Linked DNA regions of Macaca fascicularis. The protein of the gene in region 1 interacts with the protein of each later gene in a biochemical or structural test. Links are inferred from orthologs where the notes say so. Each region holds a gene or a part of one and is shown in the gene's direction. Other genes may lie near its edges.

Region 1 (10,192 bases):
AATGGGGACAATGCAACCTAAAAATCCTCCTGCTAACATCTCTGGTTGCCCTTTGTAAGTCGAATGGACTTTTAACCTCTTTTTCCTGAGCCAGAGTTTCTCAAATTGTGTTTCATGAGTGTCAATAGATATATAAGAAAAAAGGTTTTTAGGGTCAAATTAGTTGGGAAACGCTATATAGTAAGTCCTTACTTTTATCATTGATAAGTTTTTGGAAACTGCAACTTTAAGCAAAAGGATGTATAATGTAATCAATTTTACCATAGGCTAATTGATACAAACAAGAGTTAAGTTTCTATGGCATATTTCTGGTCACAAAACATCACCAAACTTCTAAATAAAGACAAAAACCCTTCTAATATTGAACAGTGAAGTAAGTGTAAGCTATGCATACATTTAAGAAAGATTAGGCTGGGGCACGGTAGCTCACACCTGTAATTCCAGCACCTTGGGAGGTCGAGGAGGGCAGATCACTTGAGCTCAGGAGTTTGAGACCAGCCTGGGCAACATGGTGAAACCCCAACTCTACAAAAAAAAAAATACAAAATTTAGCCAGGCATGGTGGTGCATGCCTGTAGTCCCAGCTACTCGGGAGACTGAGGTTGGAAGATTGCTAGAGCCTGTGGGGTGGGGGTAAAGGCTGCAGTGACGGAAGATCGTGGCACTGCACTCCAGCCTGGGGCACAGAGTAAGACCCTGTCTCAAAGAAAAGAAAGATTAATAAGAACAAGATAAGTATTCCCGCTTATTCCAGTTCAGGGTGATAGGTGGCCAGAGCCTATCCCAGCACAAAGCAGCAATCAGCTCTGCACAGGACACAGGACACCATCCCATTGCAGGGCACACTCACACACACCCACATTCACTCAGACTGCAGGCTTGCAAATGAACCTCACCTGCACAGCTTTGGGATGTGGAAGGAAACCAGGGTATCTGGAAGAAACCCACACAGACAGTGGCCCTGGCCTCAAGTGGATTTTTTTTTTTTTTTTTTTTTTTTGAGATGAGGTCTCACCCCGGGTGGAGTGCAGTGGTGTGATCATGGCTCACTGCAGCCTCGACCACCCAGGCTCAAGTGATCCTCCCATCTCAGCCTCACAGGTAGCTGGGATCACAAATGTGCACCAACACACCCAGCTAATATTTAATATTTTTGTAGGGACGGAGTCTCACTATGTTGCTCAGGCTGGTCTCAAACTCCTGGGCTCAAGCAATCCTCCTGCCTTGGCCTCCCAGAGTGTTGGAATTACAGGCATGAGCCACTATGCCTGGCCTCATCAATGTTATCATGAAACGATCTTGCACAAAATGATGTTATTCAAGGATTTGCTGTATTAGCAAAGGAGTGTATTGGCTTCCTAGGGCTGCCACAACAAAGTACAATAAACTAAGTACAATTAAAACAAGATAAATGTATTCTCTTACAGTTCTGGAGGCTGGGAGTCCAAAATCAAAGTGTCAGCAGGGCTGGCTCCTTCTTGGAGCTCAGAGGGAGAATGTGTTCCATGCCTTCTCCTGCCGGTGGCTGCCAGAATCCTTGGCATTCCTTGACTTGGACCTGCATCACTACAGTCTCTGCCTCCTTCTTCCCATGATATTCCCCCTGTGGGTCTGTATCTTTTTTCTTCTCCACTTATACGGACACTAGTCATTGGATTTGGGGACAACCTACTCCAGTATGATCTCATTTTAACTTGATTAGATCTGCAAAGACTCTATTTCCAAATAAGGTCACATTTATAGGTATAGCAGGGGTTAGGACTTGAACATATCTATTTTGGGGGAATACAATTGAACTCTCAACAGGCAGAAACAGATTTTTTTCATCTGACAGCTTCTTACAGGTTTTAATTTCAGTGACTCTGCAAGAGGGGAGGACATACAAACCATTTTTTTTTTTTTTAAAGACATATTTTATGTAACTGGTGTTCTAAGGAACATGTTTGGGGAAAAATGCCTTGGGTGAGTGAGGAGACTATTTAGCAGTGGCCACTCACTTTACCAAAGATTCGCAGTGACCGACCATATAGTCTGGTTCCCTGATGGTAGATGCTTCTTATGGCTGTCCCTCAAAAGATTATTGGCAGTCCCTGGAGCCTCTTTGTAAGGGTTCCCATACCTGGCTGGTGAGACTGCAGTAGTATGACGGGGGAGACTGGCCAAGCAGGGCATCCTGGAGGACAGTGTGTTTGCGTTCTGATGTTTGTGGCTACAGTGCTCTGGTTTCAGACATCCTAGGACTTCCACGATGTTGCATTTTCTGAATTCTGAAAGGGGATATACAATCTGATTCAAAGGTGAAATGAGGGACAGTTGACAGGGCTGTTTTATTTGGATGAGTAGGTTGTACAATGCATGTCTCTAGGGGTGGAATTCACATAGTGGAGATGGTAGATCCAATTTTCTTGTAAGAGTGTCCTGTTCTCAGAACGCCAGTATTTTGTGACAATTTTCCAGCAGGTGGCATAAAGTGTCTTGAGGAAGGGGCACCTTTTTCTAGTTTTCACAAAGGTGACATATGGTATAGAGGTGGCCCTGAATGGAAGGAGAAGCCATCATCAACTCTTGGAATGTGAGATCTGAAAGGCCTCTGAGAGAGTATTGATCCATCTCTGGAATTGTTAGGACTCTTGCTTACAAATAATAGAAACCCAATTCTAACTGGCTAACACCAACAGGAAACTAATAATCAGAATGCAAGAACAGGAATGCAGCTGGGACTCAGGAGCATGCTGGATCCAGGTACTCTGACATGGTCAGGACTTACATTTCTCTCTTTACCTGCTTTTTTCCCTTAATCCAAAACATGGTGGTAGACAACTTCTGGGTGTCACATGGTGGATGCTCAGCAGTCAGCAGAGACTGACCTCCTCTATGCTCCAGTGTTAAACTCTCAAAGACCTAGTATTTGATAGCACAACAGGATGACTATAGCAAAAAATAATTTAATTGTACATTTAAATTAACTGAAATATTATAACTGGATTGTTTGTAAAACAAAGGATAAATGCTTGAGATGGATACCCCATTTACCCTGATGTGATTATTATGTATTGTATGCCAGTATTAAAATATCTCATGTACCCCATAAATACATGTACTATGTAACCACAAAAATTAAATATAAAAAATTAAAAAAACTGCCCCGTTACAGGAGAGGTCCAAATGAAAACACTTTGAGTTTAACTGGCCACAGGTCCGATGGTTTCCTATCCACCACACAGGTAAATAGCTCAAGGGCGGGCTGCCCGCCAGCATAAACCTTTGAGTGGCAAATACTACCAGGGTGGCCACGGAAAATGCCCTCTTGCCGACCATAATTGTACAGAATGTGTGTAAATAAAAGCTAAAAGGAAAAAGAAAGAAAATTCTTTAGCTCTTTCAGAAGAGGCAAACGGAGAAATGAGAAATATAAAGAGTTAGGCACTATAAAAATACTAAATACTATAAATAGGGCATTTCCCAACCCATTAAATATTTTGATATTTTCCAGGGATGGAGTCAGAGATGTTCTGGAATGGTGAAGAAGGAGACTGCATGAATAATTGGGGTGGGATAGCAGAGAGTTTGCCAATCCCTACCTCACTGGGTTTTAGTTATGTTTCAGTTAATCTGCCTCATTTATGAGGCAGGTATTGTTAGTTCCACTTTTCAGATGAGGATACTGAGATTCAGTAAGGTTATTACCCAAACGTACGAGAAAGTCAAGATTTCACAAGATTTCAACCCAACTCGAGTTTTCTAATACCAGTGCATATCAACGGTATTATTAATCCAGACTGAGCGATGAATTAAAAACTCTGACGTGACGCTTCTGCGGGTTTCTGGAACAAGCATGGATCACCTGGGGACGGGGTGAAGTTGGCGTTGCCCTCCTTGCAATAATAGATGCTATTGTGTTGGAGCAGTTATTATGGATCAGATACTGTGCTGGGTCTATGATCTCATTTAGTCCTTACGACAATCCTGTGAGGTTGGCATTACTATGTTCTCTATTTTACAGGTTAGGAAACTGAGCCTTAAATAAACTACTGGCTTTTCCTGAGTATTCTGTGAATAAATTCCTATTACTGAAATACTTAAAAGAGCTAGATTAATAAATTAACAAAGCCCTCTTCGTAGCAACTGTGCTGAAATTCCACACGCGTGGCGTTCCCAGCCTCTGCCACTCGGTGACGTTACGATCAATCCCACCACTTTGTTCTCAGCCAAGCTTCACCGCCGCTATCTCGCGAGAGCCGTAGTTTCTTCCATTCGGTTTTGGACATGCGCGGGGCGTAAGGCGCTTTGGCCAGAGTGGTTTGATGGTTTTTTGTCAGTCTTCCTACAGCTGAGCTTCCACAAGACACTTTTTCCCTTTCAGCCACCCCAGATCTCGCGAGACTTGCTTTTTGCTTTTCCCCCTCCCACCTTGCGCCTGCGCAGGTCTTCAAAGCAGAAGGTCGCGCTTGGAGGAAGTGGCGGCTTTGAGTCCCGTGGCCCAAGCGCCGTTACTACTTCTCTGAACCTCCTGTCGGCTGCTTGCCGAGACACCCTGCCGCCAAGATGCCTCGAATTATGATCAAGGGGGGCGTGTGGAGGAACACCGAGGTAAGTCTCCTTTTCCCGCCGTCCGCTGCCCTCCGCTCCCCTCTAGCAGCTTTTGCGCACGCGCGCGGAGCTTGGGTAGGCGAGGAGGAGACCCTGTGGCATCTGCGTGGAGGGCAGCCTGGGGGCGGACCCGCGGGGCCCTTTCCGTGTGTCGGGGCCCTTTCCGTGTGTCCGGACCCGTGTTGTGCGAGCGCCAGTGGGACAGGGACCGTGATGTAACCACCTGGCTTCTCAGCTCCAAGCTCACTTGTTAGGCCCTTAGTGAACTTTTGTTGACTTGAATACGCCCCCTCCCACCCCCGCGCCCCTGGAGGAACTCAGAGTTCCAACTCAGCGAGAGTTGGTCTCCTGGGGCACCATCCACTCTTAGTCCGTAGTCCGGGCATCACGGCTCTGTCCGATACTCAGAAATAAAGAAGTTGCCGTGGCCACAACTTTCTTCATTGACTTCCTTGCAGAGGGGAAGCAGTTTGAGTACCAGGTTCAGAGAGCCCGTTACCGCGTCTCTCTGGTTACCTGTTATCAGGGCATAACCTGTGTGCCATCCCGACAGATCCCAAGGTCTGGCTCTTTCTGTCACTGCCTTTGCCTGGATGGAAGCCAGAAAGGAAAAACTGCTTAGGATAGTCTCTGCTTCCAGAAACGTAGTGGATAGTGCCATTGGTGAGCCAAAGGGCAGTAGAGTGGGAGTGAAATAGAAATTAGATTTTAGTGCATTTTGTGTTCAAAGTGTACCGAATTTATCAGTTTCTGGAGCACATCATATCTTTTCATGCTCCGTGTCCTTTTTTCGTTAAATTTTATGCCTTCTTTTTTTTACGTCTTTTGCCTTCCTAGCACTTGACATCTTTATGATCATCCTTCAAACCTAGGTCAGAAACACTTATTGGAATCTTTGTAAGAGTTAGTTGCACCCCCAGTATTCTCATGGTACCTTTTTCTTCCGTTTGTTAAAGCTCGCTTTGTCTTTTTGTAAGCATCACATCCTCTGTGTGGTACTGGTTAAGTTTCTTAACTTCTGAGAGCCTCAGTTTTCTAATTTCTCTAAATTGGGATAATAATACTTACCTCACTTGAGGATTACACGAGTTAATACGTTTGGAATATTTAGAACAGAGTAGGGCACATAGTAGCCTCTGAGTAAGTGCTGGTTCCTCTTTCACCTCACCAGATGGCATTGCGAGAGGACCAGGTCTTGGTATCCCTAGAACCTAGGACAGTAACCAGCATGAAGTAGGTTGCTTGACAGGTGTTTGCAGAATGAATCAAGTAGAGTAGGTATCTGCTGTATCTGTTTAGTTGAAAATGTATTTAAGTGTAGTAGTACTGCAACCGAGTTACAAATACAGACAGTGAAAACTGCCTCAGCTTGCTCCGAGGGAAGCAGTCTGTTTCAATTTGAGAAGAGATGATTTCTGAGGGAGAGACAGATATAAAATCAAGTAACAGTAGGATTCCTATGCAGTGGTCAAAGCTCTGCAGTCTTTTTAAAACATTATCTTTGATCATGGGAGATGCAGAGGATGGAGTGGGGTATCTCAAGAAGCATGTACCTCAAATGCAATGTGGGAAAAAAAGCCTAGAAGTAAAATCGCCCAAGTGCATGCATCTGTGACTCCATTAACCTTCTTGTCTGTGACTTGGCTTGCCAGGCTGCCTTGAGATTGGCGCATTCCACGTTGTGATGGGTGCCCTGGTGATATGGTATCCAGAGACGGGGGGTCTCTGGAAGGAAAGCTGACTGGTGGGGTTGGGGTAGAAATATTTAATTCTTAGGTTAGACCTGAGATTTGGGTCATAAGTAGGGTTAAGGGACTGGCGGGGAAATGCCATGTGTAAACTTGAAACAGGAGGCTTGGATTGGAGAATACATTCACCAGAGTCCCAACTTGCTTCTTGAGGCCTGGATATGTCCTGTTTGATAAGACCTTTCCTGAAGACCTGTTTCAAGGCAGATGTTGCGGAAGTGTTTTTTGAGTGACTATAAATGAATGAGTTATATCTTTTTGTTGTTGTTGTGTTTTTTAGTTGTCCTTTTTGAAGAGAAGGACAGCCACACGTTGAAGAATACTTTTTCTTAATCTTTGTCGTAAAGTAGGGTTTCTCAGATTGGGCTATTCCCATTCCCAATTTATTGAAGAGTGTGGTGTAAGGGTGGGTAGATGTCTTTCTAAGGGATTTCTTCTTAATTTCTTAATCCTTGGTTGCTGTTTATTATTATAGTTAATAAGGTTTTCATCCTTAGTCTTTTAACCTAGGGGGTGTGAATGTGCATGTTATGTGTCTGTCTAACAGCCCTATCAGAGTTAATTTAAATTTTGTGTTTTCTCACTTTGAGTTTTGTGACTGAATGTACTCTTTGGCAAATTTTTTTAGGATGAAATTCTGAAAGCAGCGGTAATGAAATATGGGAAAAACCAGTGGTCTAGGATTGCCTCATTGCTGCATAGAAAATCAGCAAAGCAGTGCAAAGCCAGATGGTATGTACCAGTTTAATAAGTGGAAAACAGAAAAGGAGCTTAATCGTGATGATGGAAAATGTCAGCTCTGTGAACCTTATCAAAGGAAGCAGACATCATGATATAACAAGGCATGGAGTGGGAGATGGAATTTGGATTTTTGACTTAGCTGTCACTTTCTTCCTGTGTAATCTTAGGCAAGCCATTTTTCTATCCCTCTCCCCTGCCCTTGTCTTCTCCCAATTAGGGATAATAATACTTGATGCTAACTGATAGAGATGTGAGGTGTCATCTAAATGGGTTAATGTATTTGAGAGTGCTTTGTGAAGCATACAAAGTCTACTTTCAGGGACAGATGAGCCCCAGCTTGTAAATTAATTGTGTTCTAGAAGTGCATAAGTTAGCTGTTTTAGGACTTACTTTCTCAAAGAAATAAGTGATAACGGCTGATTTTCCAAATGAGCCTACAGTAGTTGAGTTTCCTCATAATGCAGTTGAAATATTATATATTTTATAGTTAATATGTTATATATTAAGCATATTTAATATGTTATATATGTTAAAACATAAGCCAGCCCTGAGCCTGTGGTGTCACCTCTTTTTTATTTTTATTTTTTGAGACGGAGTCTCACTCTGTTGCCCAGGCTGGAGTGCAGTGCCGTGATTTCGGCTCACTGCAAGCTTCGCTTCCTGGGTTCACGCCGTTCTCCTGCCTCAGCCTCCCCAGTAGCTGGGACTACAGGCTCCTGCCACCATTCCCTGCTACTTTTTTGTATTTTTCGTAGAGACGGAGTTTCACCGTGTTAGCCAGGATGGTCTCAGTCTCCTGACCTCGTGATTCACCCGCCTCGGCCTCCCGAAGTGCTGGGATTACAGGTGTGAGCCTCTGCGCCCGGCTAGTGTCACCTCTTAAATGATAGGATAGTGGACACGTGAAGCTATTTAGTGTGTTCTTAGCATGAGTTATTTAGCACCATCCCCCAACTCATGTGGCGTTAGGAAAATACTTTGGATTGTACAAGAATGACCTAATTTCCTCGGCACCTGTGTAGGGGAAAGGATCAGAATGTAGAGATTGGCCAGGTGTGGTGACTCACATCTGTAAGCCTAGCACTTTGGGAGGCCAAGGCTGGGATCACCTGAGGCCAGGAGTTTGAGACCAGCCTGGCCAACATGGTGAAAACCCCGTCTCTACTAAAAATACAAAAATTAGCCCGGTGTGGTGGCTACTTGGGAGGCTGAAGTGGGAGGATCGGTTGAACCCAGGAGGTGGAGGTTGCAGTGAGCTGAGATGGTGCCACTGCACTCTAGCCTTGGTGACAGAACGAGGCTTTTTTCCATCTCAGAAAAAAAAAGAATGTAGAAATTGGCTGTTAAAGAGGAAGATGATTTTTAGGCTGAAGAAATGGTCCCGATTTCTGTTTGTCTTAGTGGTACCAGTTCCTGCTCTCATATTTGGTAGGACGTAAGTCCTGTTTGCCTGCCTGTCATCCAGCTAAGTAGACTGGATGGAAAAGGTGTGCTGGGTGGGGAATTAGGAAAGACGGAGGGGATGTCGTAGTAGTTTTACTTAAATTTTAAAACATATCAAATGAAAGGATACGGTGAATTTAGTGAGTGTAAGTCAAATGCTTAAAGAAATAAGCCTTGGTGTGAGAACCAAAGCATGAGAAAATAGTATGAAAACTGGAAACACTGTACAAAACGTGAGGTTGTATTGTCTTCCAAATATTTCAAAATTTCTAGAAAAGTGTAAAAATAAATAAAAACAAATGATAGTTGAGAAAGAAAGCATATGATCATGATACAGTGAAGTAACCTTTTTAAACCATTACTAATCTTGCATAATTAAAATAAAATAGAATGTGATGAGATGGTGAATATTGGCTGGGTTAAGTGTGACCACACAGCAAATATTCTGTTGTCAAAAAGAACAGTTTTAGTAATTGAAGGATGAGAGCATTTGTTTTTCAGACACTAGAAGTCAGTGCATCCATTGTGCAAATTCGATGTTTATGCCAGGTAACTGACTAATATATAAAATGATCTATTTTTAATAGGTATGAATGGCTGGATCCAAGCATTAAGAAGACAGAATGGTCCAGAGAAGAAGAGGAAAAACTCTTGCACTTGGCCAAGTTGATGCCAACTCAGTGGAGGACCATTGCTCCAATCATTGGAAGAACAGCGGCCCAGTGCTTAGAACACTATGAATTTCTTCTGTAAGTGAGTCTTCAGAAAGAGCATAGAATATATGTATATGTTCTGAAAGAGGCTGAATAAACTTTGAGTATTTTTTCTCTTAAACTTTTAATTATGGATGTGAGTAAAGCCAAAGCTAAAGCCATTGGATAATATTTTCCAAATCTCAGATGGTTGATCAAAATTATGCCTTCTATTATATACTTCCTAAAATAATAATTTAAAAGATTTATACAAGTCATGCATGTTCATCATAAAAAATCCGGGGAAAAAATAGTAAAAGAGCAAATAAAAGTCACCCATAATCACACTGCTAAGAATTAACTACTGGAACGTTTTGGTTCTTTACTAATAGTTTTTTTTTTTTTTTTTAATTTGTATGGCTGTACTGCATTTGTGACTAGGATCTGTTTGGGTCCTATTTCAGAGTGGTTGAAACCAGTCACTGAAAGTAACAAATTTTAATATCATTTATTTCAGATGAAGTGATAGTAAAAAGGCTTTATGTTGTTAAAGCCCATCCATTGTTTTCTTAGGGGGGGAAAAAGAGTGTCAGAACTTGGAAATCTGGTAATTTTAACACTAAATGGTATTATAGTGTGAGTAACTCCTATGGGCTTTTTTCTAGGGATAAAGCTGCCCAAAGAGACAATGAAGAGGAAACAACAGATGATCCACGAAAACTTAAACCTGGAGAAATAGATCCAAATCCAGAAACAAAACCAGCGCGGCCTGATCCAATTGATATGGATGAGGGTAAGTGTATGCTTTGAGGAATTTATTTCTTTGGTAACTGTAAACTCCTCTGGCCTTTTTGTAACTCTTTTAGTTCCTTTCTTAACTCCTCTACTTTAGAATTCTTTTTTTTTTTTTTTTCTGAGACAAGGTCTTGCTCTGTTACCCAGGCTGGAATAAAGTGGCACAGTTATGGTTCACTGCAG
Region 2 (10,149 bases), on another chromosome or scaffold:
TAAAATTTCTTTCATCAAGAGCACACTGAGAATCTTTTTAATTTACACATCAGCCACAATGTCAGTGGTCTATCTGTGAACTGCCGGTTCATGTGCCTTATCTTTTGAGTTGTTCATTTTTTCTGTTGATTCATGAGAGCTCTTTTCATATTAAGAAAATTAGCCCTGTGGCTAACATGCACATTACATGTATTTCCCAATTTTTCATTTTTCTTTTGTCTTTGCTTATGATATATGCAGACTTTGGCCTCATTTTCACTGAGTGGAATCCTAACAGCAGCATCTGCTAGGCTGACATGTTTGAAAAAGGCAGCAGCTAGAATGCCTAATGCCTCTTTGAGTTCCTTCACCAGCTGCCAGGCATTCAAAACATCACACAAGTTTATAAATCCAGGGGCTCCATTTAGAACTGTGATGGAAAGCTTAGGCTTCAGTGTGTATTACTTGCACAGGAGTCTGAGGAGGGATCATTCTACACTGCAAGGGCATCTGAGATATTCCTTTCCTGTACTATTTCCTGAGGTAATCTGAAATTGCTTCATCATATTGTGCCATATAAGTGAATGTGAATGCCTTCAAGGCTAACTGGCGTCTAGTCTCCAAGAAGGTGTCCTTACTCTTGGAGCTCTGCCTCTCTGTGGACACTGCCTCATAGTCCTCTGACACACCACTGTCACTGGATTGTGGTTTTTGGTGGCATCTCTCAGTAAGGTTACTCTACCAGTATCAATTTGCTTAACAGCGTCTCAACTGTTACACCTGGAGAAGCCACTCTCTTCAGGAAGGGATAGAGATTACAGGCAACAATCAGGCCTGGCCATATCAGCATTACCTTTTGGAATATTATGAGCAGGAACCCAGCATGGATTTCAGGATACAAAGTTTTCACAGCATTTCAGGAAATCCTGTCAGCTCAGAGACCTCTCTGACTGCCAGACCGGTATCCTTGACAGCGTTTGCAGTCCCTCCAGAAGGAGCAGTAGTGGGGCCATATGCACAGGGACGAGGGAGGTCCCTGATTCATGTTTTCACATCTCCTAAGTTTTTTTCATTTAGGTCTTGCACATTTTAAAATTTATTGCTATTTTAAATAAAAACCCCTTTCCCTGCTATATTTTTAACTGCAAAAACGAAAACTATTGATTTTTAATAACATTTTTCTACTCAGCTTAGTGAATTTTCATATTGTTTCCGATAGTTTTTTCAATTGGTTTTTTAGGTATAAAGTCATACCATTTGCAAATAAAGGTAACTTTGCATCCCTATTTCCTACTTAAACAATTTAATTTTTTTGTCCAATTGAATAACTAGTACTTTCATAAAAAATAAACGTGGATAATAGTGGTGATGGTGGACATCCTTCTATTATGACTAAACAGTAAGAATATTTTTAATGTTTCTCTGTGAATACGACACTGGCTTTTGGTAGCATATTTCTAAAAGAAAACCTAAAGGTGTCTAAAGAGTATTATTTAATATAAATAAAATGGGATCTATAAATATTAAGTAATAATAGTAAAATATTCAATCAAATGCCTTACTTTTCTTAATTATTCATGTCAAGAGGTATTTCTGCTAACTAAACTGAATATTAAAAATGTTTCTACAGATAAATTGTATTTTGTAACTAAGTAGCTAAGTTTTATAGAAACTAAATAAAATTTAGAATTCACTTACTTAAATGTAATGGAAAATATTTTTCATTGTCGTAAAATTTACAATGACCAGAAAAACAGAACTGAACTGACCTTTTATAAGCAATTGTCTGCATTACACATACAGAAAGACTGTGATTAAATTAATGGTTGCTGAAATAGCATCTTTTCGGGGTGAGCACATCACACACACACACACTCCCCCCCACACACACCCACACACGTACACCTTGCTAAGATATTTATAACTGACAGTTTATAACTGATAGTACAATCTAATTATTCCCAAAGTCTTCCCAGGCATTAACAGGAACAATAGCCCCTTCGCTGTTCCTTATAGTCCCAGAAGCCTCTGTTTCAACTATGCTACAAGAAAGTATCTGCTGATACTACCTTAGTATCTAGGCAAATTCATAGCATTGTGCTAAACAATTAAAGATCAAACTTTTGGAAGAAATGTCCAAGTATCATTTTTCACAGGTTTTGACCTCAGAAATTCAAATAAACAGTGATAACTCCCACGATTACTTTCTTTTGAATTCATGAACAATTTCAAATATGAAATTTAAGGGCTGGACATACTGAGTCACACAACTCTAAAGAACATTGCATACAGTGTTTTTGAAAGCTTGTATATTTAACCCTTTAAGTTGAAACAGGAAAATAAATAGTAATATTTATTATTTTATGATTATAAGAATCAGAAAACACTTCCTATAAAAAGTATCATAAAAAGCTGATGACAATGGCACTCGAATCTATACTCACATGACCTATCACTGTTCAAGAGCAAAGAACAATATTTGAAGGAGAATAAAAAGACTTTCTGTATTGGTGAGTTTAAAAAATCTTGCCTAAAGAAGGAGGGCTTTCCTTAAAACTTGTATTCTTGGTTTTACACAGACATAATACTAATATTTATATTAATAAGTTACTTGCCATGTCTGCTTTAAGGAGAGCCCTGAGGGCCCTTATAAACAGCAGTAGTGACACCTGCTGTTCAAATAAGGCAGCTTGGGGTGTCAGCCAGGCCATGTGTGTATCCTGGAGCCCTTCAAGAATCCAGTGAAACTTGTAGATCCTTTCTCAAGAAAATAAAACATATTCCCATATAAATACAAAATTTTCCCACAATATACATAATTTATGAATCCCTGAACTAAATAATAGGCTCACTTGAGTTCTATATTTATCTAAAATATTGTAAACTTTCAAGTGGATGACATAATTCTATAAATTCACGACAGTGTTTTAAAAGGAGCAAATTCGAGGCAATTTACCTCAATCATTACCATGTTGTTATGAGTCTGGGCCTATAAATTAATGTCTCCAGGATGATTAAGTATGTAAAAAGTTAATAGGTCCAACCAGACAATTAATATTTTCCATAGATATTAGTCTTGCTTAGGTTTCTATGGTTTTATTGTCATTTCAAATCATTGTTTTCTATAGTTATTATTCATAGGTGAGTATATTATTTAGTTCCTCAAGTATATATTTTTTAATTATAGTATTTTCTTGCAAGGAAATACCATCACCGGCCACTTTTACAGAAAATCAGTTCTTAGGACAAACTCACAGTCAAATTCAGGGATGTTTTATCTTCAAGCAAAAACATGACCTTAAGGCCGGGCGCGGGGTCCCATGCCTGTAATTCCTGCACTTTGGGAGGCCGAGAGGGGCAGATCACCTGAGGTCAGGAGTTTAAGACCAGCCTGGCCAACATGGTGAAACCCCGTCTCTACTAAAAATACAAAAATTAGCCGGGCGTGGTGGCGGGCGCCTGTAATCCCAGCTACTCCGGAGGCTGAGGCAGGAGACTCGCTTGAACCCAGGAGGAGGAGGTTGCAGTGAGCCAAGATTGCGCCATGGCCCTCCAGCCTGGGCGACAAGAACAAAACTCCCTCTCAAACAAACAAAAAACCATGACCTTAATGTTTTTAATGAATTTCCAAGTGACGTTGATTTACACTGCTATTCTTTTGCTAGATTGTTTCCCCCTCTCAAAGTGTATGCAGTACGCTGTCAGGACAGATCAGTGAAACTGAAACAGGGCCAGTAAAATGTTTTGTCTATTTAAGTTTGCAAATGCCCAAGTCCATCCATTTTTCTTTTTACATAGAAAAATAATTAGGTAGGGTTGATCAAAACCGGAGATTTTACCAGGGTAGGAAGCAAAAATACCAATACTTGGCACAAGGATATGTATAAATAAAAATGGCTAAAGTCTCCAATTGTGTCTTTCTTCTACCAGCTTTGAAAAGCTGTACCCTGGCATTGTTGAAGCCACAATAATCAGCAGACAACTAGGAAATGTCCAAGAGCTATGTAGCGTTGAGAAGTTAAAAAAAAAAAAATCTATTAGCAGAAAATGAATATGGGTTTTTCTTATATCTACATGTCAAAATTTTCCAAATTAAAACAGCCATTCCTCAACATTCACTCAGCAAGTGTTTACTGAACTGTTTAAGCGAAATTGTTTTCAGGTGTTAAGCCTACAAGTGTCCAAGTGCTTCTCGCCAGGATTGGAACCAGGAGACAGAAAGCAAGCAGGCGACCTCCAAAGAGATCAAGGCAGCGGAAGCGCCTTAGATAGAGCCCACGGGAGTTTGCTCTCCAGAGAGCTTAGGCTCTCTGAATAAAAAGCATTAAACTCCGGGGAATACAGCATGAACAACCAGGGCCCCAGCCAAGACATTGAAGGCTGAAGGTAAGGCAGAAAACATAATTCGAAGACTTCTTCAGAGGAGCGAGTGAAATCCTCCAGTCAGGCGCTTCCAGGTGTCTCCCCTCTACAGCCTCGAGCCTCCGCCCTAGGGGCGGTCCTGAGGAGGGAGACCCGCCTCTTGATCCCAGAGGGCCGGGGGAGACTAGCGCGCGTGCGCAGAGCTTGCATCACATCCGCCGCCTGGCCTCCCAATTCCGGAAGGTGCAGCACAGTTGTGGCGGCGGGTACTGCGTTAGTGATTAGGGTTTCTTCTCTGCCGGAGGTGGGATACGCGGTAGCATCATGGTCGAGGTAAAGTGACACTGGGACTCTCAAGAGTCGTTTGTCTCTGGACTGTTTTTCTTTGGCAGTGGGCTTGGGGGATTGAGAGTGCTTGGAGTCCGGAGAGAAAAGAGGCTACGAGGGAAGCTGTTTGGCCAAGGCCGGGTGGTCTCTTCATCGGGTTTTCGGGGAAGGGGTAGAAGCCGGATGAGAACCCGAGTCGGAGGTTCAGTCCGGGCGCTAAGCCTGAGATAATTCGTCCAGTCCTCGTTTGACTCTTGGGAGCTGGAAACTGTCCTTGGAGGCGGGGCCTCTGTTGGTGTTCGACCACTGGTACTCGCCGCCCTCGGGGCAGTGTCAGTGATTCTGTGCCCGAAAAGATTGGCGGTCTTCTCTATCTTGCGTTCAAGTCGTCTCTTATTTCAACTCTACTCCCAGAAAAACTTGCCATTCTTTACATCTTTCCCTGGCATGAACAGCCAGCCATTCTGTTAGCTGGTCTTGTCCATGTTACCCCACATGTTTATTGATTCCATTCACTTTTCTCCGTATCCACTGCAGTCCACCTTAATTGAGACCAACATCATCTTTCACCGGGCCTGGTGCATTAGCCCCCCGTTGATTTCCTTGCTTCCATTTTGTTCCATAAGTTGTTCTGTTTAAAATGTAAGTTGTTCATACCTTTCTTGTTTAAAACCCTTTACTGACTGTGTTGCTAGAAGAAAACATAGGCTGTTGTAATAGTCTAAAATACCTTACCTAATCTGGACCTTGTCTACCCTTGCAACCACAAAGCACCATCTCATCCACCATATACAGCTGTGCCGCCCTTCTTGTATTATTTCAGTTAACTGAACATTTTTTTACATGACATTTCCATCAGCCTGGTTCGTTTTTATCTCTGTTTTGTGCAAGGCTAACTCCCTTTCTGCTTAAATATCACTTTAGTGAAGTCTTTCACAATTATACTTAGTCCTTCGTTTCCCGACCCAGTGCCTTGCTTGTTGCCCTCATAGCACTTATCAAAATGTGGAATTATTTTACTTTTTATTTGTCTGTTTCCTCTTGAGCACAGGGACCATGACTACCTTTTATCATTCTATTGTGAGATTCTAGCACGATACCTGCCAGACACACAGTAGGAGCTCAGTAAATATTTATTGAGTAAATGACTAAACTATGGCATCACTCAGTTGCTATACCTGAGGTTCTAGCCAAAGAGGAGCTTCCTCCTCTTCTCTGAACTTGACTCCTGTAGCTCGCAACAAGTAGCTATGGTGAGTGGTATAAAGCTTTTTACATATTTAAACATGTGAAGTGTATAATCAATCTGACGTTAGGTTATGATTTGTGTAATTTGTAGATAGGTGTGTAATTACTTTTTTTTTTTTTTTTTTTTTTAAGGAGGTACAGAAACATTCTGTACACACACTTGTGTTCAGGTCATTGAAGAGGACCCATGACATGTTTGTAGCTGATAATGGAAAACCTGTGCCTTTAGATGAAGAGAGGTTGGTATAGTTTTTTTTTCAATTGCTGAAATATTTAACATTCTAATACTGGGGGAAGAGAGCAGGAAGAGGGAGACCTTTAAAGATAAACTGGCAATACTCATGGGCTAATTCAATAATGAGTGGTGTTTTGGCATAATTTAAGCTGATTTAACTTTTTTTTTTTTTGGCCTTTTACAGTAAAAGTTCCATTAATTAATTGCATTTTACAAATACCCAGTAATTAAGAGAGTCCCTTTTAGGTATTTTATTTTATAATCAATCACTTTGTATGTGCTTTCAGCTTCCCGCTGCTCTCAGAGCCTTGCTGAGCTGAAATTGTACCTGGCCAGTACCTCTACTCCCATCTTTTCTCGTTAGTATGATGAAGATTTTTGAGTGGTGGCATATTTTTGGTTCTACATATCCAGCTCCAGTCTGGGATTGCATTATGTGCAGTGTTCCTTCTTTGTCCTTTACCCTTTTAAAATCGACTTAACTCCTCAAACAAGCATTTATATTTAATTTGTAAAGTAGACTATTTTTAAAAGTAATATAAGTGCATTTCTTTTTAAAATATTGAACCAATTAAGTACTTTTCTTAGTTCTAACTAACCTGTTTGGATACATCTAGTAAAGGTTGCTGTAGAGTTTTTACTATATTTATATTTTGAAGGAAAGCGTATTGACTTTGAGGTTTCTTAAAGGGTATGTTAGTTTCTATATATCTTTCAAGCAGACCCTTGATAATTTATCATAAAATATTTTCTATTAGGTAACAAACTAAAATATTACTTAGGTTTAATGAATGCTGTGTGGTGGAATGTGAGCAAAAGAACAGATATGGTGGGGAAATGCACTTGGAAATTTTTGATTCTTTTAAATACTACTTAAAATCTTACTAGAAACTTTTCCTACATGATTGGGCAAACTTAAGCTGTCTAAGTGTTTGTTTTAAAGTATTTATGGATACGTTCTTATGTTTATAATTTCTAAATAGTCACAAACGGAAGATGGCAATCAAGCTTCGTAATGAGTATGGTCCTGTGTTGCATATGCCTACTTTGAAAGAAAATCTTAAAGAGAAGGGTCCTCAGAATGCAACGGATTCATATGTTCATAAACAGTACCCTGCCAATCAAGGTGAGTATGGTATTATCAGAAATGTCAGACGTATGTGTGAATTTTAAAAATAGAAAAATAAAATGTGTTATTTTTGCCCCTGCTGGCAGGACTTAGGTGTGGTCATACAGTATTTAATGGCTGTACCAGTATTATAATGGAAGTTTTTATCCTCGTGGGAATACTGAGACATTGGTTGATGACTTTTTTCTTATAGGAAATAAAAATGGTAGTATAATGATGGCAGAGATTCTTAGAATGTGGAGAAGGTCACAGTAGAGATTAAAGGAAAAAATTGGAGAATATTCTTAACCTGTGGGGATACCATCTATCCTGTCTATAATTCAGAAAGATGAAATTAAATACTGAAATCTTAATAAATGAAGAGAATTCAAGCTTCCACAGGAAATTTGCTTGGAAGAAATACCAGAGTGGATTATCACTTGATAGGAGGGCTTCTTTGTATACCATTGCTATATAGCAAATGGACAAGGACATGGTTTACAGAGGTCAAAAGTGACCAATTTCCCTTATTTCTGAGGCTTAACTTTAGTTGAGAAAATGTGATAGATCCAGTTGAAAATGTAATATTATTTGATACTTTAAAGAGATGATAACTTTTATATATAAGATAAATTCACTACTGTTGATTTTTTTTGTCTTTTTTCTAGGACAAGAAGTTGAATACTTTGTGGCAGGCACACATCCATACCCACCGGGACCTGGTTAGTGAGCTGTTGTATATTGAAAATATCTTAAAAATGTCACATACATTTTCACTAACGAGCCAATAATGACATTCTTGTTGCCTGTAAAATGCAAGATAAGTTCAATAGCCAAGCATCCATGCATAGCTTTGTAGGTGATAATGAATACTCATGTGCCTTTATTCAGCAAACATTCTTGAGTATGTATAATTTTTCAGGCAATATGCTAGGAATTCAAAGACAGTAAAACTGTTGCAGGCCTAGACAAATTTATTATCTGGTGGTTTAGGCAGACATGTAAATATCACCAAGCTTATAAAAATGATGGGAATGTTAGAGGCAGTATCTTAGAAACATGTCCTCTGTCTGTATTAAGGTATTGGCCCACAGATGGAGTGGCCAGTATAACCGGGTAGAGGACAAAAGGCTTAGTATATATAGAAAGTGCAGGAAAATTGGGTGCTTCTGGTTGTAGTAAGTTACAACCACTCTTGGAAACATTCTGTTTGTATTTGAGGAACTGCTTAATACTGACTTTTGAAACTAATACCCAGATATAATGGAAATTAACTTTACTGTTCTGGGCTGCTTTAATACCTTGTAGGCTGTGATCAAATTTGAGTTATGTGTTACTAAGCAGTATTTATTGTAGAAATTAAAAACAAGATGAGCAAAACTTAATCAAAATTTGTATCACTGCCTGGAATTAATAAACGTTTGGAATGTTTTCCTTCATCATTTTATTTTAAGTGCATGTAAATGAATAATACAAAGCTACTAAAAGAAATTGATTTTTCATTTTAATAGGGGTTGCTTTGACAGCAGATACTAAGATCCAGAGAATGCCAAGTGAATCAGCTGCACAGTCCTTAGCAGTGGCATTACCTTCTCAGACCAAGTATGAAATATTATAATTACAAAGATCTTAAAAGCATATTTCACTGTTCACGTTTTTTCTTTTTAAAATTTTTTTATAACTATTGTATGACATTTTCCTTTATCAGGACTTATAACAATTTAAAATAAAGGGTTAGTTTTGCAGAATACATGACTGGAGGCATTAATTACTTTGAATATAATATTTCTTTTGCCTCAGGACTGATGTAAATCGTACTGCACCTAGTGGAAGTGAATACCGACATCCTGGGGCTTCTGACCGTCCACAGCCTACAGCGATGAATTCAGTAAGTTTTTCTGCGTCATATAGCAGGTTTCTAACTTTTTAAACATGTTGCCTTATTTCCCTCTGATCGAAAGTCTTACCTTAAATACTAAAGAAATGAACACTTTGGAATTATTAAGATAAATAGCAGCCTGAACTAGTCATTCATATTTCATAGCCCTAACACTCAAGTTGGTAGTAAATTAACATTTTTTGGAATGCTGTTATTTGTCTACTTGTACGTTGTGTATAATATGTATTTTGATAAAGATAATGTGATGTTGGTATTTATTGCCCACTATTAAAAATGCAAGGAGAGTTTTTCTGAAACCTGTGTTAGTATGCATTGCATATGAAAGTCTTTTTTTTTTTTATTAAATTTTAAGTTGGTACAGTTATGTTGAGTGCTATTAGTGTTGTACTATTCATGGGCTATACAACTAGTCTTATAAATGAACATTTAGAAATAAGTTTATCTGTAGGTAAATGGCAACTGGTATTAGTATGGTAGAAGTAGTTGTAGAATTATTTTCTATAGTTATTTTATTGATTTATTTTTCTGCCATGTATTTTATTATGCTGCCACTTGAAATAAGTGCTGGCTTTGCTTCTCAGCTCATTATGCAATTGTTTTGACTTCATGAAGTGAATGAATGTGTAACCCCCACGTCTCATTTCTTCCTTTATCTTCCATTCAGAGCATATCTTCTGTCCAGGCTCTCTACCCTCCTTATGAGGGTGTAATTTAAGCTTCTTGAGGGCAGGAACTTTATGGGCTTAATTATTTTTTGGATGACTAGATGACTGCTAACAATAGATGGTATATCAGGCAGTACACCTGTTAAAATAGTATTTAAATATTGTATTAGAAGATAAATAGAAGGAACTATCATATCAGTCTTTGCTACATTAAATCCATAAGGTTAAAATATGACAATGAATGGCAGTGGCATTAATACACTTAAAATGATTTTAATAATGCGAGCTTACATGGAGCATTTACTACTTTTTACATCTTTGTAGT
Region 3 (10,080 bases), on another chromosome or scaffold:
GTATCATGCCTGGCTGACACACTATGGGTACTCAATAAAGACTGGTTCAACAATTAATTACTGAGTCTCCCTCCTTCTAGTCTGTCCCACTCCAACCCATCCAGTAAGTGTCTTCCGGAGGAAACCTCTAAAAGTGTAGTTATCACTCCACAGTTCAAATGCAAACACATGCTATTGTGCTGCCAGCCCAATCACCACCCAAGTTTAACCACCTTGGGTTCAAGGCCTCTCCTAAACGGATCCATTTTATTTCCTACCACACATCCAAGTACGGTACTTGAGATGCGTGGCCTGTCAGGCAACCTGTCTTTCAACCAACAATCAAAGTTCCTGCTATGTGCCAGGCACAATGTGGCACTCTTACACTCTGAGAGCAAAAGTAACCAGAACAATGATGGTTCCTACCATCATGAAGTTTACACTCTAGTGGAGAACCCAGACATCAGATACTTATAAATAGATAATTAAATGATTACAGTTCTTTGAAGTGGTTTGGAGGACAATTACAGTTTGCTGTGTGGACTAAATGTAAACCAGGGACCATGAAAAGGGCTCCAGAGGAAGTGACATTTAAGGCGAGACTGAAGTTTACATTGGAGGGTTTGAGACAGGAGGGGGAAGAGGGAGGGAGGAGAGGAAAGTGGTCCGGGCAGAAGTTCTGAAACCAGCCAGAATGGGTATGTTTGAGGAATTGAAAGGCCAATGTGGTTGGAGAGAAGATAAAGTGAGACCATGATGGTCAGCACGGACCAGATGGTACAAGACTTGGGGTCAAGTTTCCTCATCCAGAAACTCTCTCTCTCATTCATGGCCTCAGGAATGACCCCTGGTTGGGGCTCAGAGAATGATACCCCAAAGTATGGTGCTTTAGTATTGTTTCTGAGCAAATAGAGGCTTACTGCCTGATGCACATAGAAGCCAATACTATGGTACCAGCTTTTGCGTGGAGAAAGGCTTTATTGCAGGGCCACCCAGCAAGGAGACTGGAGGCATGGCTCAAATCTGTCTCCCTAATTTTCCCTAACTGGGGCAAGTTTTAAGGGGTCAGAGGGTGATATGGTTTGGCTGCATCCCAACCCAAATCTCATCTTGAATTCCTACATGTTAAGGGAGGGACCAAGTGGGAGGTAATTGAATCACAGGGGCAGGTCTTTCTTGTGCTGTTCTTGTGTTAGTGAATAAGTCTCATGAGATCTGGTGGTTTTGAGAAACAGGAGTTTCCCTGTACAAGCTTTTTGTTTTTGCCTGCTGCCATCCATGTAAGACGTGATTTGCTCCTCCTTGCCTTCTGCCATGATTGTGAGGCTTCCCCAGCCACGTGGAACTATAAGTCCAATTAAACCTCTTTCTTTTGTAAATTGCCCAGTCTCAGGTATGTCTTTATCAGCAGCGTGAAAACAGACTAATACAGAGGGCAAGGAAAAGAATTAGGAATTTTTGCTTGGCAGGGTCTGATTGGAGGGCTTCAAATTTGACTACATGGGTATGTTGAGGTGGATTTTCGCCCTGGATCTTTCTCGTCAATAGACCCTTTGCTCCTGAAACAGTTCTAGCATTTAGGTTCTGTTCATGTCTAGGTCTTCTTGGTACTACAGGGAAGAATCATTGGTTCTGGATGTTGTTAGATGTCAAAGCATTTTCTATTATGCATGTCCTGCTGACATGACTTGGAGTTTTGGCTCTGTCATACCTACAAGAGAACATGACATTCTATTATCAAAAGAGTAGGCCCAGTTTGGATTGGTCCTGAGGTTACAGCATGCTGAGCACTTTTGAATGAAAAGAAATGGGAAGGTCTTAGAAGCTGCCTTAGAACCAAGGACTTTCTAACCTTCTCTTGCCCACTGACCCCCATCCTAAGTGCAGGTAGAAGCTCTCTCTAGAAGTTCCCTTATCTCAGAAAATTTCTTCCAAAAGAAGTGCAATTGTCTCAAATCCCTCTTCACAGGAAACTCATCAAATAACCAGAAAAGATTAACCACTAGAGAAGAATAAAAACTAAAAGTCATCAACTCACCACTACACCTAGAGAGACTTTTAATCTATTCTTCTGAGGGAGCTATAACAGATTACCTGGGAGACTTTATGAGTATAAGACAACCTTTGTTCACAATGGAGTTCTGCCCCTCACCTTCCCACAATTTGTTGCCACCTCCTCCAGAGCTCATAAGAACTTTGTCCCAAGGCATTGTCTGTTCTTGGGGCTCATTCATTTCCCCTAAAAATTATTTGCTAGCCCTCAAAATTGCCTACATTTCCCCCATCTCTCTCTTTCCTGGGTGCCATTTAAGTAAGCATCAGCCACCTGTTCCTTCTTTGAGCCTCATATTTTGTATGACTGCTGTGCACACTTGCACACTAATACACTTGTATGTCGTTTCTCCTGTTATTCTGTCGTTTGTCAGTTAATTTCAGCAAATCTTTAGAGGGCAGAGGAGAAACTTTTTTGCTCCATACCCTCATTCAGTTCTCAGCGAAAAAAAAATCAGCTCCTCAAAGATGCACTCTCTAAGTGCCCTGTCTAAAGCAGCCGTTCCTCCAATCCCCAGCACCTCTGTCTACTTTGCTCTGATTTGTTGCATTCATAGCACTACTACTCTGGAATTTTCTTCTTAAGTGTTGATTGTCTCTGTGCTCCCACCACTCCCAGTACAGTGTAAGCTCCAAAAGAGCAGAAGCTGTGTCTTTCTTGTTGACCTTTTCTATCTCCAGTTTTTAGAATAGGGCTTGGCACATAGGAAGTACCCAATCAATATTTGTTGGATGAATGAAATGCCTGGGGAATAACATGAATCGATATTTCATTCAAAGCGGATCACTGGCTGCTCTGTGGAAAGTAGATTAGGAGGAGGAGGCCAGGCTGGAAGCAAGGAACAAGTGGCAAGCTACTTTGTTGGTGCAAGAGAGAGATGAAATGCCCTTTTGCATATTAACTCCTCATAAGAGTTCAGCGAGTTAGTTCTACCCCTGTCATCACTCCCTCTGTTTTACAGATGAGGAAACTAAGGCATAGAGAAGTTCATACAGTCAATCACCTGGGTGGTGCTAGGATTTGAGCACACAGTCTGACTTCAGAGTCCATGCTCTTGGCCACTATGCCATACTACCTTTTGTACCTGTAACTTTTATTTTTCTCTCCAAGCTTTTGCTTACATTGTTTCTCCTTCTGGAATGCCTTTCCTTCTCCTTCTCCTCTGAATACTGCCCACCTGTCAAAGTCCCTCTCACTCACACATCCTGTTCATCCTGCCCGTTTGTCTTGATACCTTATAGTCCACACCACATGTCTTTTGCATGATTCCTGAGAGTATCTTATCTTACAGATATCCACAAAGAATCATACACTATCTGAGCTGGAAGAGAAACAGAAAATACAAAATAAATTGATAAGAGGCCACTGGTTTGGACTGAGCTCTTGCGCTAGGCCTAACAGACCAAGCTAAAAAGAGTCCTGCTGAAGTTCCACCCCAATGAGCTGAAACTAAGATCTTTATGACCTTCTGAGAGAGAGTGTGTGTGTGCATGTGTGTTGGCAGGGAGAGCTAAATTCCCAAACAGGCAAGTTTTACATGGCATGATAAAGAAGTACCCTCCACTTTAACCTTTACAAGAAAAGTAATTTTGAGATTACCAAATGACCAATCCCATTTTTGTTGTTTCTGTTTTCCTCAGTCCTTTTCTGTCTAAAAAACCAAGCTCCCCTGTTCAGCTCATTGGAACAACCATTAGATTTTATAGTGTAAGGCGCTGCCCAATTTTATAGAATTGCACCCTAAGTCCCAGAGCTACTCTGGAGGCTGAGGCAGAAGGATCACTTGAGCCCAGGAGTTCCAGGATGCACCTGTGATAGCCATGATTGCTACGATTGCACCTGTGAATAGCCACTGCGTTCCAGCCTGGGCAACATTGCCAGAGTCCGTCTCTTAAAAACAAAAACAAAAACAAAACAAAACAAACAAACAAAAAACTTTAAACTAAATTTGTTGTGATTTTGTCTTTTGACAAAGAAGAAAGGGCAGGGAAGCCAATGTGAATTGCCCCAAATCACAGAGCGAAACGGTAGTAGTCAGGACCAAAACGCTGTCTTAGCCGTTTTCTTAGTTCCTGTACCCATCTGCCTCTGTATTTTTAACACCAGGCCATCCAGCAGTGTCTCTTAAAGGGTGGCCCGAGAAACACCTGACTTAGAATAGCGTGGGGGGCAGTCTGTCTACGCAGATCCGAGGAATCTGCATTTTAACAATGGGAAATTGGGAAATTCTCGCGCACACCAAGGTTTCAAAGACCAGGGTCCCGTGACACAGTGCCGCACAGTTGTCAAAACAAGTGCTGTCCAATTGCTTTGGTTTTAAGTTCTCACTGCATCATGGGAAATGTAGTTTCGAGTCTCCTCTCTTCCGACGCCCCCGCCAATCCCCGGGCGCTTTACGGAACGAGCCGAGTCAATCCGGAAATAACCGAGTGTTCGTGGCGGGCCCTTTCCTGCCCGGCTGCATTCTGGGAAAGGTCCATTTCCGTTAGGTGCTGGAGGCAGTGGCGCGCGGCTGTCCCCATTCCCACGTGAAGCGCTACGCGAGCATCGCTCGACTGGCGGCTCCCAGCTCGCAGCTGAGCAGTCCCGGCAGCAGCGGGGGACCGGAAGTGGCTCGCGGAGGCTCAGAAGCCAGTCCCGGAGTCCGGCGTGTGGCGCCTGGGAGCGCGGCAACGGCGCCATGTCCCTAATCTGCTCCAGTGAGTGTTGCCTGCGGCCGAGCGCGGGTCGCAGGAGGCCGGAGAGCGGCGCGGGAGCGTGTGCGGGCCACTGCGGCGCCGGGGCCGGGGCCGGGGTGGAGGCGGGAATGGGGCGCTCCAGAGGCAGAGCGGCGGCCTGTCAGCCCCGGAGCCCTCCCCTCGGAGCGGGGTGCATTTGCGCAGTGCTCCGCAGTTTACATAGTGCCGGAGGTTTATTGTCGCAGGCATTACTGAGGCAGGTCGCCTCATTCTACCGAGTGGAAACAGGCCTGGACAGAGGGAGCTGGTGCAGGGGAAACAGCCTTGATGTAAGAGTCAGGAAACCCGAGGTCTTGTCCAGGGTCCGCCTCCTGTTGGCTTTGTGAATTGGCTTAAGGCTCTGTGCCTCGGTTTCCCCATCTGCAAAATTGAGAGCATTGCACTGGATATTTTGTGAGGCCTTGCTCGGATAGTCGCAGCTTTTGCAATTTGTAAAGGTCACATGATGAGTTAGAGGTAGGCAAGGCTGGCAGCTAGGTATATGGCTCCCAGCCTTACAGTGTATGACTAATTAAAAACAGCGCACATTTATAAAGCCCTTATTGGTTTACAACGCGCTTCCAAGTCTAGGATCTCATTTTATCCTCACAAGAATTCCCTAAAGGAGAAAAGATCCTGGTGTTGCAAATGAGGAGGCAAGGCTCAGGAAGAGCGGGGCTTATCTAAGAATGCGTAGCTAGTCAATGGCAGAGCTGGGTGACGTAGTTAGGTGACACGGAGTTTGGAGCCTGAATCCTTGCTTTTTCCATACCTTCCACTATCTTTCCCTTTGATATTTTATCATGACGTACATACGTTTTCCTTTCCCTTTTCGTTGTTTCATCAGATTACTCGTTTCCCCTCCCTTTTGCTATTCACCTCCGTCTCTTCTCAGAACCTGTACGTTGATCCAGAGAGGGGGAAGAAGGAAGGGAAATGATGGAAAAGGAATCTCTCACATTGAAGAAATTACAGCTCGCAAAGTACCTTCACATTCATTGTTTCCTTCCAGTCTTGGGAAAGCTCTCTTTTACGTTCCCCAGCACTATCTTTCCTGGCAGGGTTCACTCATTCGTTAGATGTTTACCGAGTGCCCTGGGGGCATCTGCATTGTACTGGAAGTGAGAGACCAGCTGTAATCCTTATCCTCAAGGGGCGCACAGTCTATGCAGGCAAGAGTGTAAATGATACCTCTATTGCGGGTTGTTGTGAACATGAATTACTGTACTGTATGCCTAGAATTGTGCTTGGCACATAGACATGTGCCATGTAAATATTTTTATTGTAATGATTGCCACTTTGCTCCTTGGAATCTTCCAGGTGATAAGTGTCTGCCTGTATCCTAATCAGTTGACTGGTAGCTGGCAGACGTCAATAGCTTCAGGATGGGGACTGGTCACCTAGAAAGACTAAAGGGTATTAGAAAGTTGGGATTTTCAGTCCTACCTCCCACTTACCTGGGGAACGAGAGGGGCTGAAGTTGTCACTAGTGACCAGTGATTTATTGAATCATGCCTTTGTAATGAAGTTTTCATAAAAATACAAAAGGGCAGGATTCAAAGAGCTTCTGTATAGCAGAACATGTGGGCGTTCCTGGAGGGTGGGGTGCCCAGGGAGGGCATGGGAAACTCTGTACTCCTTCTCCCATACCTCATCCTATGCACCTCTTCATCTATACCCTTTGTAATATCCTTTATAATAAACTGGTCAACATAAGTGTTTCCCACAATTCTGTGAGTCACTGTTGAAAATTAATTGAACCCAAAAAGGGGGTCATGGGAACCCTGATTTACAGCTGGTAGATCAGAAGAACAGGTCAAACAACCTGGAGCTTGCGATTGGCATCTGAAGGGGTGGGGGAGTCTGGTGGGACTGAGACCTCAACCCGTGTGATCTGACACTATCTCCAGGTACCTGGTGTCAGAATTGAATTGGAGGACACCCGGATGGTCACATCTGTCACAGAAGTATTTTGTTTTGTGAGAGAATGGGAGAAACTGAGTTTGTTATTCCTATATTCTCAGACTTTATGATTTCTTTGATAATCCCTCTGGAGCTATAGACTAAGATGGATGGAAGGGATTTGAATGGCTTCATGTGTGTCTCCATGTCATGGAGTAAACTGTATTCATAGAGTACACAATCATTGTTCAGATATTAGGTGGCGATAATGGACTGCTGTTCTCTAGGTGCTTGGCACATAGTAGTTGTTAATAATTATTTGTTGACTATCTGATTGTCAGGAGACTAAAGGAAAAGCTAGTTCCACAGCTGGAAAGCGTTCTGGGGCCAGTACAGAACTGGCTTAGGGTCAGATGTCTTGCTTTTTGCTAGTTGATTGTGAGGATGCCTAGTCTTGTTGGGGCTAATAGCAGATGAGGAATCCTCTAGGCTCAAGATTGCCTTCACTCCAAGCTCACTGCCGGCCTTTTCTCTACAGTCTCTAATGAAGTGCCGGAGCACCCATGTGTGTCCCCTGTCTCTAATCATGTTTATGAGCGGCGGCTCATTGAGAAGTACATTGCAGAGAATGGTACCGACCCCATCAACAACCAGCCTCTCTCCGAGGAGCAGCTCATCGACATCAAAGGTGCCTATTGGCTGCCTTAGTCTAGGGCCATCTTAGCTCAGAGCCTGAGAGGATGGGAGGTGGTGCCAATGCACTGGAGGAGGAGATGGTGGGCTGTTTATGGCTAAAAGGAAAAGATGTGATGGCAGGGGAGGTCCCTGGGTTATGCTCTTCATACCTACTTTCCCTTTCGGCAGTTGCTCACCCAATCCGGCCCAAGCCTCCCTCAGCCACCAGCATCCCGGCCATTCTGAAAGCCTTGCAGGATGAGTGGGTGAGTTCCTGCAAGAGAATTAGCATCTTCCCCACTTGAAGAGAATGCATCGCTGAGTTAGGACTTGGGGGTGGGAAGGATGGAGAATTATTTAGATAATCATCATCAGGGTTTTGTGACATCAGGGTTTTGTTTTATTCTTTGTTGTATCCCCAGCACTGAGAGCGCCTGGTACGTAGTAGGTGCTCTAGAATTATGAACTGAATGATTGAATACATCCTGCAGGACTGTCTGGCACAGTGCCTGACACAAAGAGGGCAATCAATAAATAGCAGCAGCAGCAGTGTTGTTATCCACTTTTAGAGAGGTGACGGCATGACAGCTGGAATTTGCCAGTAAATTAGGGAAAGTAGGGATGGGAAAGAGCTGACTGCCACTCCTGTCTGTGTGCCCAGTGTTTGGCTTGGGGTAGGAGCTCAAGAGTGTCTGCTGGCATATTCATGGTGCTCGGATATTGTTTGGGTCACTGATACTGGTCTAGGCTGTGGGATAGGAGGCAGCATCCACTCCCCAAGAGCTGGCTCCACTGGGTGCTCCCTGCGCCCCCCGCCTCAGCTCACAGTAATATTTGCCTCTCCCAGGATGCAGTCATGCTGCACAGCTTCACTCTGCGCCAGCAGCTGCAGACAACCCGCCAAGAGTTGTCGCACGCTCTGTACCAGCACGATGCCGCCTGCCGTGTCATTGCCCGTCTCACCAAGGAAGTCACTGCTGCCCGAGAAGGTGCAGCCTGCCCCCTGCCATCCCCCACCCTGAGCTGGTTCTGCTTTGTAATATCCCATTTCTAACATCGTCTTTTCTCTCAGCTCTGGCTACCCTGAAACCACAGGCTGGTCTCATTGTGCCCCAGGCTGTGCCAAGTTCCCAACCAAGTGTTGTAGTAAGTGTCCCCCTTCCCTTACCACAGCCCATTTGTGTGCAGTGGCCCACAGAGCTGTCCTTATGTAGGTGTCTTTGGTGCTCTGTGCCCCTCACCCTCACCTTTCTTCTCTTCAGGGTGCGGGCGAGCCAATGGATTTGGGTGAGCTGGTGGGAATGACCCCAGAGATTATTCAGAAGGTAAGTCCTGCTCTCACCTGGTGGGAGTGCTGATGGGCCCTTACTTTTCCCCATCTGTCTAGAGTCCATCGTGACTAAAATCGCTATGCTTTTGGGAGTTGAGTGGTGCAGAGCGTGGATTCTGGGCCCAGATTGCCTGGGTTTGTATTTTGATGCCACTACTTGTAAGCTACATGACCTTGGCTTCCTTAGCCGATTTCCAAGTTTCATTTCTGTAGCTTCTAAACTGAGAATATAATAATATCCACTTTATAGGCTTGATGTGGGAATCTAAATGATTTAATTACTGATAAGTGCACCTTTTAGCCCTTATTGTTTTGGGTATTATTTGCAGATAGTAAACTACTTTTATATATTTTCTTGCTTTTTTTCTATGAGGGCAATAGGACAGGAATTATAATCCTTATTTTACAGATGAAAGACACATCAGAGGCAGAGCTGGGCTCCTGATTGCAAGTCCAGTGGGATTCTCATTTGCAGGGCTTTTTAGTGTCTTTCTGAGCAGTTCAAATTGTCAGCATGTGTCTGAGCCCTTGGCTGAGTGGCATGTAGACCTATGGGAGCTCTACAGTCCTGGCCTCCATTCCTGCTCTGCTATTTATCACCTCTGCAACCTTGGGCAATTGACTTCACTTCTCTGAGGCTCAGTGTCCTCAGCTGTAAAATAAGGTCATCAACACCCCCCTTATAAAGCTGGGATGGAAGTAAGAAGAGAGAATGCCTTTAAGCCTGTAATGTAGAAATTGGCAGATAGCAAATTCTGGGTGTTGCTTGTGAAAGCACAGGTGTGACCAGCATCCAATGTGCTTTTCTCCTTGCAAGATAATTTGTCTCACATTGAGCCTATTCTTCCCCAGCTTCAAGACAAAGCCACTGTGCTAACCACGGAGCGCAAGAAGGTGAGTTCTCTTTTGAAGCCAGGAGAAAGAGCTGGCCTGGTGGGAGGCAGTTGACCCCTTAGGAGAAAGGGGGCTGGCTGATCTTGGATTCATTGCTGCTGTACTTTGGGGGCTTTTTCATTTTCTCAGAGAGGGAAGACTGTGCCTGAGGAGCTGGTGAAGCCAGAAGAGCTCAGCAAATACCGGCAGGTGGCGTCCCATGTGGTGAGTGTCTGGGTCTTCACTGTCTTGGAGACAGCCCTCCTGTTTTGTGTCTGGGGTGGGTGGGCCAGCATGGGGAGTGCTGAGTACAGAGCTGTCCCGGGCTCCTGGCACTGTTCCTGGCGCTGTTTCTTGCCTGGGCTGCTGAGCTGTCAGGGCTCCTCTTCCTGCCCAGTTGTGGGTTTCCCAGTGATGCAGTGAAGGAGTTACCGCAGCAGGCAGATAGCCAAGAGATATGGATAAGGAGTAGAAGTAACTCTTGCTCCCCTGAGAACATGGGTGACTGGGGATGGCAGTAGGGGAGACCTGTGGCTTTGTGGCCTGCTGTG

Evidence for each region.
Region 2: the proteins of CDC5L (region 1) and PLRG1 form a complex in vitro, tested with the Homo sapiens proteins (3 studies listed by BioGRID, with this or other methods). The link is inferred for Macaca fascicularis from reciprocal best matches to the Homo sapiens genes CDC5L and PLRG1.
Region 3: the proteins of CDC5L (region 1) and PRPF19 form a complex in vitro, tested with the Homo sapiens proteins (2 studies listed by BioGRID, with this or other methods). The link is inferred for Macaca fascicularis from reciprocal best matches to the Homo sapiens genes CDC5L and PRPF19.

Annotation. Positions count from the first base shown.
Region 1 is NC_088378.1:127,129,203-127,139,394, reverse strand, and holds the start of CDC5L (cell division cycle 5-like protein), read left to right. Parts: upstream 1-4,423; 5' UTR 4,424-4,545; coding exon 4,546-4,590; intron 4,591-6,966; coding exon 6,967-7,070; intron 7,071-9,109; coding exon 9,110-9,271; intron 9,272-9,879; coding exon 9,880-10,007; intron 10,008-10,192.
Region 2 is NC_088379.1:159,462,981-159,473,129, reverse strand, and holds the start of PLRG1 (pleiotropic regulator 1), read left to right. Parts: upstream 1-4,579; 5' UTR 4,580-4,665; coding exon 4,666-4,674; intron 4,675-6,048; coding exon 6,049-6,155; intron 6,156-6,438; exon of another isoform or gene 6,439-6,510; intron 6,511-7,134; coding exon 7,135-7,277; intron 7,278-7,927; coding exon 7,928-7,981; intron 7,982-8,770; coding exon 8,771-8,861; intron 8,862-9,059; coding exon 9,060-9,147; intron 9,148-10,149. UniProt on the Homo sapiens protein: Involved in pre-mRNA splicing as component of the spliceosome. Component of the PRP19-CDC5L complex that forms an integral part of the spliceosome and is required for activating pre-mRNA splicing.
Region 3 is NC_088388.1:13,363,863-13,373,942, forward strand, and holds the start of PRPF19 (pre-mRNA-processing factor 19), read left to right. Parts: upstream 1-4,510; 5' UTR 4,511-4,712; coding exon 4,713-4,731; intron 4,732-5,644; exon of another isoform or gene 5,645-5,921; intron 5,922-7,189; coding exon 7,190-7,339; intron 7,340-7,515; coding exon 7,516-7,592; intron 7,593-8,173; coding exon 8,174-8,315; intron 8,316-8,398; coding exon 8,399-8,472; intron 8,473-8,588; coding exon 8,589-8,651; intron 8,652-9,508; coding exon 9,509-9,550; intron 9,551-9,679; coding exon 9,680-9,754; intron 9,755-10,080. UniProt on the Homo sapiens protein: Ubiquitin-protein ligase which is a core component of several complexes mainly involved pre-mRNA splicing and DNA repair. Required for pre-mRNA splicing as component of the spliceosome.